Linked DNA regions of Canis lupus familiaris. The protein of the gene in region 1 interacts with the protein of each later gene in a pairwise test. Links are inferred from orthologs where the notes say so. Each region holds a gene or a part of one and is shown on either strand. Other genes may lie near its edges. The genes, in order: ALDH16A1 and DERA.

Region 1 (3,822 bases):
CAGCTCTCTCCTCCCTCAGACCCAGCCCATCAATTACCCACAGCCAGGGCAGGGCAAATCCTCCACATCATCTCAAGAAAGGAGAATGTGGGTGACAAGATGAGACCGACCACTCCTGTAAGAATAAATAAGAGGACTGGGACAGGTACTGCTAGGTCGTGAGGGAGGAAGGCGCTGGGAGCCAGGACTCCTGCTTCTCACCCATGGGCTCCCAGCCTGCCAGCACCTCCTCCTGGGTGCATGCCTGGACTGCATGGTACTGGAGCAGCTGCTGGGCCAGTGGGACATCCTTGTCTCGAATCTCTCGAACGGCTCGCCCAGTAACCAGGGATTCCAGGGTCCAGAGCAGCCGCTGGTGCTTCTGGATCATCTTGGCCAGCCTGCAGAGAAAGCCAGGGGGATAGTCATTTCCCACTGCCCTTCCATCACACAGTCCCAGAACACCTCCTCTGTACTTGGACTACAATCCTTATGATCTCCCGGGGGCATCCCTGTCATTTACCGGGGGGGAGAGCAACAAAGATTCATGGGAAACGTAGTCCAAAAAACACAAAGCCTGAGGGTGCCCTGTGATGATATGGGCCACCCGCAACCCCCAATGGTGCATGGAAATTGAAGTTTAACCTCTAATCTCAGTCGTATTCTAGAAAATGGAATGTTTGTCTCTAGGTGGCTCAAGAGTGTGCTGGAAGATGGAGCCTCGATAAACCCCAGGGATATTCTGGGAACTAGAACTTCTTCATTACTAGTCCTGGTGTATGGATGTTTTCACTGCTAAAGGCACCAAGGCATGCTGGGCATAGGAGCCTGAGCTACCCAGTAACTCAGTGAGATATCGGGAAATAGAGGGTCCTCACAGTTTCAAGTGGGTGATGGAGGATGAAGTCCTTTCCCACCTCCCATGGTCCAAACCTCAATTCCATCACCTGATCAGATGCTGGGCCCGGGAAGCTCCAGGGAGTCCGCTCCAGTTCTCGAAAGCCTTCCCTGCCACTTCGACTGCAGCCACCACATCCTCAGCCTGTGCCTGGAGGCAACTGGCCAAGCTCTCTCCTGGGGGGATGAATGGAGGCACCCCAGATGAGACGAGTGGGGGGATCCCATGTCAGAACTGGAGGGGGCTCAGATTTCCAGAGCCCAGGTGCGCCCCAAGGCAGAAAAGCTTGTCCCCCATAATCAAGGAAAGGATCTTAGTAGAGAGTGATCTCAAAAAGCATTGACAGGCACGTAGAACGTAATTAGGATGACTGCTAATAGGAAGAGCGTTTTTTTCCCACTGGCTCCACCCTGCCTTCAGAGCAAAGGGAATGGGGGGTTGCTGGGAGGTAAGGCTGGCCAGGGATACAGATGCCTCTCTCCCCCTGGGGGTCACCTCATACCTGTGATGGGATCCTGGCAAGGCACTGAATTCCTGTGTTCTGGCTTTAACCACTTTCCACTCACATAGTGACCCAAGCGTCGGTCCTGGGTGTCCAGCCAGGCCTGGGGGAGGTGAAGACAGTTTGGAAAGGGCTCTAGGAGGCATATGGGGGAGCTCAATTCCCACCTAGAATCCTCTGGGAGGGGGATACCTGCACCCCTTTGCCCCCCTAATTCTTTTCCTGTGTAGAAGAAAAAGTGTAAAATATATTATAATCTAAAACTCATCACATTAATCATTTTAAGTTTTTAAAAAGTTTTGAAAAATGTTTTAAAAAGGTTTTATTTATTTGAGACAGAGAGAGAGAGAGAGCGAGAGAGCATGCAAGCATGAGTAGGTGGAAGGGGCAGAGAGGAAGAAGCAGATTCTCCACTGTGTGGGGAGTCAGAAGTGAGGCTTGATCCCAGGACCCCAAGATCATGACCAAAGCCAAAGGCAGATGCTCAATCGACTGAGCCATCCAGGCACCCCTCATTTTAAAGCATATAATTTATTAGCATTTAGTATGTTAACAACATTGTGCCACCATCACCATGATCTAGTTCCAGAACATTTTATCCCCTCCAAAGGAAACTCAGTCTCCCTTCCGCCTGACACTAGTCCCTGGCAACCACTAATCTGCTTCCTGTTTCTCCAGATTTGCCTACTCTGGATTATTTCTCAGAAATGAAACCTTACAATCTGTGACTTTTTGACTGGTTTCTTTCATCCAACACAGTGTTTCTGAGGTTCATCCATGATTTGCTTGTATCAAAACTCCATTCCTGGGGTGCCTGCCTAAGTGGCTTAGTCAACTAAGCACCTGACTCTCAATTTCAGGTCAGATCATGATCTCAGAGTCTGAGATCAAGCTCGGCTGGAAGCCTGCTTGATTCTCTCTCCCTCTGCCCCTCCCGGCTCTCTCTCTTTAAAAAAGGCTTCATTCCTTTTTTATGACTATATGATATTCCATTGTCTAGACAGGTCACATTTTGTTTATCCATTTATCACCAGTTAATGCATATTCAGTTTGTTTCTGCCTTCTGGTTACTGTGAATAGTACTGCTTGGAACACGCATGTACAGGTTTTTGTTTGAACACCTGTCTTCACTTTTCTTTTAAAGATTTATTTATTTATTTATTCATGTGAGACAGACACAGAAAGAGAGAGTCAGAGACACAGGCAGAGGGAGAAGCAGGTTCCCTGCAGAAAGTCGGATGCAGGACTCAATCCAGGGATCTGGAATCACGCCCTGAGCCCAAGGCAGACACTCAACACTAAGCCACCCAAGCGTCCCAATTTCTTTTGGGCTTATGTACCCAGGAAGGGAATTGCTGGGTCATGTATAACTTACGGAGGGACCACCAAACTGGGTTCCATGGTGGCTGCACAGTTTTACCCTCTCACCAGCAACATGTAATGGCTGTCCTACTGACTTTGAAATGTGGCTTAATAAAACCCTTTCTCAAAAAAATAAATAAATAAATAAAATAAAATAAAATAAAACCCTTTCTCCTCCATGGAGAAATGACCTCAGGTCAGGTTTCTATTTCTCAGGAAACCTGAGACAATTCAGCTGCATTACCAGTCATCAGTGACCCCTGAATGGTCCACCACACCTGAGTAGGACAATTGAGAACACGCCATAGATATCAGTGGGAAGCCAAGGCATTGGGGCCTTCTGGAGTGCTCTGCATTCCTGGGATTGGGCACATACCTTGTCACAACCCTGGAAGCATTGCCCGTAACACTGTATCAGGCAGTGATCAGGTCCTTTTTTTGGGAGGTGGGGTTTTTAAGCCAGGTGGCTTATGCATCCAATGGTGTGATGCCATTCTCTCCCCCCTTAGCAGTCATCACTTTGAGGAGAGATATGGACAGAAGACACAGGCCTGCCAGGCACAGCTTATTTGGCTGTTATGTGTCTACCTGAGCCCAAGGCACAGCACACAGGCATGGTAAGCCTGCTATGAAGTCCCTAGAGCTACAAATTTGAATCCTGGCTCTGGTACTATTGTGCAACCCTAGCCAGGGTGTTATAATACCCTGGCCTTGGCTAAGCCATCTGGAAGATGGGGATAATCACAGCCCCTCCCTACTTCACAGGGCTCTGGCGAGGATTAAGTGCATCAGTGCACATAATAAACTCAGAGCAGCACCATGTAGGATTTCCTCTTAATCTTACTGCACCTAGCCTTCCATGTCTGCTCCATGTTTCTCCCCTTGATCCTGTCTTCCCTAAATCCTGGAAAAATCCAAGACACACTTTCCACTTTTTCCTTCTACAATTGCTCTCTTCTTAGCATCCCAAAGCCACATTCACCCAATTTTCCTCTTACCCTGCCAATTGGTTCTCTCATTTTTCTTTGAAGGAAAATGGTGAGTCAGAAGTTTCAAATCCAAATACCCCCAGAGAGGGTGC
Region 2 (3,822 bases), on another chromosome or scaffold:
ATCTGGGCACAGAAATGTACATCATTTAACTTGTTAAGAATGTATGAGAACACAGTTAACATTCTAAGCTAAAAGACTACATTCTCTGGCCTCACTTGCAGCCAAGATGGCCATGTAATTCAGTTTGAGCCAAGGAGGTATATACAAAAATGCTGTGGGAGACTTTTAGGATAAGACAGCCCTTCTTTCCTGTTATCTGGGAGATGAGTGGAAAGGCTGGAGCTTCAGAAGCCATCTTAGATGATGGAGTGCCCTTAAGTCTGAGAGTAGAAGCCACCCCATCCACTTTGGAAGTGGAAGATCAAAATAGCATAGGTCATTAAGAACTTTTTGGGACTGCCACAGTACCCCTGAAATACCTACCTCCAGATTTTGTATAAGAAAATAAATCCTCAAGTGTTGAAACTACTAAATCTTTGCTACTCTGTAACCAAAAGCAATTCTTAATGGATAAACAATGGAATTAGGATTTATAGAAGATAAGCTAGATGGACCGATGGATAAGCAACACAGAAAGATAACAATGAGACATTGGCAAGTCCAATAAGTAGACTAAAAAAAAATACATTAAGTATAATCCTACTTTTTATTTAAACTTTTAAAAAGGATGTCAGTTGCATGTGTGTATATATGAAGAGAAAAAAGTCTGAAAAATTGTGCTGTTATGACGTTATTTCTAGGGGATAAGATTATGTGGAACATCTATTTTCTTTATTACTGGTTAGAATTTTTGTTTTTAACAGCAAGCAGGTAAAACCTCAATAATGACTATAAAATATGCCATGTATTTCATATCCACCTATCTAAAGAGACAACATATTATTCTGGTTTTATCTTATGATTTAATTAAAAATTTTAGTTGAACTATTTTTATAATGATTTTTTTGAAGCAGAGAATTGTACTTATCTTAGCTATCAACAAACAATCTCTAATATACAAAATATATTTAAGGCAAAGGTCAAATCTATTTTTTTAATATCTAATTATAAAAACAACAGCTTGTTACTGAAATGGGTGATGTTTTATCATAATCGGTATGATAGTAAATCATGAATCTCAAAGGTAAATATAAAGTAGTATCCATAGGAATTATGTGTAAGAACAGCAGGAGTGAAAACAGACTTAGCAGACTTATTACTAAGTCCACATCCTCAAAATCCACCAAGATTAACATTAAAAAAGGGAAGTTTCTTCCACCTATTAAAATAAACTTTGCATAAATGACTTGCCTAGAGTGATTTATGTATTGAGTAATAAAACACTAGAGAATAGAATAAAAATTAATAATCTACTGCATAGAAATAACCACTCACCTAAGCACTCAAAGGGATCTAAAAAGTTAATGCAGGTGGGCAACTACCTAGGATTTATGAGGGGAACAAGGAAAAGCAATACTAGCCATGTTTTCTCTGAAATTCACCCTCTGATCTGGTGACTTGTAACCTAGAACAATGACTTCCAAAACATGTTGCCTCTTATCCAATCCTCACCGTTTGATTCACGCAGGAAGAACTATGTCTCCCTTTTGGGGAAGGACTTGCACATACCTTCCCACTGGCCCGTCAGCACCAAGGTCCTGTTAATGACCACGTCAATTTCTGTGGCTCCATCTTCCACAGCCAATCTGATCTCTTCCAATCGTGTTTTTAAATGAGTCTGTCCAGCTGGAAAGCCAGTGGCCACTAGTAGAGAGAGAGAAAAGAAAGGAAAGAGGGAAGGAGGATAGGAAGGGAGGGAGAGAGGGAGACAAATTTCAGTTGGTGTATCTCAACTAGGAGTTTCATACAAAACAAAACAAAACAAAACAGCATTTTGATCAAGGAATAGATGACACTAAAGAGCTTCTACACCCTTATCTTATAAAGTGAAGTGCAAAGAAACAGAATGTCATCTCATGATATTGGAGTTAGGATAAATATTAGTATTTTGTTGTCTGAAAAACCTGAAATTAAGTTTCCGTAGAGATGCTCATAAGCAGGCTTTAAATAAACAGAAATTAAGAAAATATGTATCATCACAGTGATAGTCATAAAATAGTAGTTATAGACTTGTCTTGATGGACACTGGTTAATTATGGATCCTACTCTTAATCAAATTGGTTATCACTGTATTCTTGATTTACTCACTAACATTTACAGCTGTTGTAACCAAATGGTAACATAGGTTCTTCTCACTGCCTATCTTAAAATGAATAGCCATATAGATGAGAATAAAGGGAAAGACTGTACCAGGGAAAAGCATCTAATAAAGTCTACAAAACTGGGGCAGGGGTGAGTTGGGAAGAGCAAAACCAAGCACAAATTTCTTTAAAAATGGAAACACAGCTACACTTCAGAAAAACCATTACATTTTTTACATGTGCATCATTAATTCCACTTCCATTACTAATGATAACCTTTTATATTTCCTTGATGTTATTAAATTCCTTGGGTCTGCTATCTTAGAGGGAAGCATGTTTCCCTGTTGTATAAAAGAAAAGTTGAATTGACTGAGGCTGATGAAAAAATTTAAGGTAGCTGCCAAACACTTTCAGAATCTTCACAAGTAGCTTGTATATCAATACTATGTGTTTCTTCTGATGTATCCCTAATAAAATAAAGTAATCATGTTTAGACTCCTTATTTTAAAGCACCAGGATATTCCTCTAAAAGTACAATCTAATTTTGTATCTATCCATAACACACACACACGCACACACACACACACACTCACCTACACAGAAACTTTAAAGACTCTTCTTACTTTCTTGCCAAGTCCTATTGGGTCTATCTTAAGTAATAATTCCTGAACATACCCTCTCTTCTTTACCTCCCAGGCTTTGGGGTGGCTCTCCTCACTTCTCACATGGACTATGGTAAGTCTCCTTAACTCCCTGTCACCTCTCTCTACTGTATCCACTACCATCCCCCTGACTCATTGCATCATGCAGCTGATCATGATATGCCTTTGCTTAAAATCTTGCAGTATCCCTCCCATCAGCAGAATAGACTCCAAATGCTACTGCCAGACCTGGTTTCCCTATGTGAACTGGCCCTAATCTACCTCTTCCTCTTCAACTCCCAGAGCTCCCCCTTCATCCCAATTTAGATCCAACAATTATAAACTACTTGCAGCTCCCTGTGCATGCTTCTGTGTCTTCACACATGCTAGTTCTTCTAAAATGCCATTCCCTATCTCACCAACACCGTCAACTCCTCCTTCTCCTTTGAGACCCCAAGCAGTTATCTCCTCTACGAAGAATCCCCTCACTCTCTGAGCATTACCAGTCCGTGCAAAATAAATCACCCCCTGCTCAGAGTTACAACTGTACCTTCTGCATATCTTTACTATCACACTTTACATATATATAATACAACATATCCTGCCTGATGTTTTAAACTCGATCATTCCTCCTAAACAACCAAGTTTCCTTAAGGACAGGGATACAGTTCTGTATTCTTGAAAACGAGTATGGTTTGTTACTCAGGAGGCAATTAGATACTGAAAGAATGAGTAAAAAAGAAATAATTAAATATATAAAACTTGGGGCACCTGGGTGGTTCAGTGGTTGAGCCTTTGGCTCAGGTCATGATCCCAGGGTCCTGGGATCAAGTCCCATGTCAGGCTCCCTGTAGGGAGCCTCCTTCTCCCTTTACCTAGGTCTCCGCCTTTCTCTCTGTGTCTTTCATGAATAAATAAATAAAATCTTAAATACACACACACACATACAACTAATTAACGTCATAATATAAATTATATATAAAACCCCAGGGGTCTGAGCGGAAGAGCTAGAAACAGGTAGAAGGACAACAGCAAAAGTCAAAACCATCTTACCCGAAGCC

Evidence for each region.
Region 2: the proteins of ALDH16A1 (region 1) and DERA interact in binary tests that used the Homo sapiens proteins (3 or more experiments, as listed by UniProt). The link is inferred for Canis lupus familiaris from reciprocal best matches to the Homo sapiens genes ALDH16A1 and DERA.

What each region holds. Positions count from the first base shown.
Region 1 is NC_049222.1:107,715,839-107,719,660, forward strand, and holds part of ALDH16A1 (aldehyde dehydrogenase family 16 member A1), read right to left. Parts: intron 1,483-3,822; coding exon 1,380-1,482; intron 1,054-1,379; coding exon 927-1,053; intron 381-926; coding exon 202-380; intron 116-201; coding exon 38-115; intron 1-37.
Region 2 is NC_049248.1:15,433,506-15,437,327, reverse strand, and holds part of DERA (deoxyribose-phosphate aldolase), read right to left. Parts: coding exon 3,815-3,822; intron 1,684-3,814; coding exon 1,549-1,683; intron 1-1,548. UniProt on the Homo sapiens protein: Catalyzes a reversible aldol reaction between acetaldehyde and D-glyceraldehyde 3-phosphate to generate 2-deoxy-D-ribose 5-phosphate. Participates in stress granule (SG) assembly.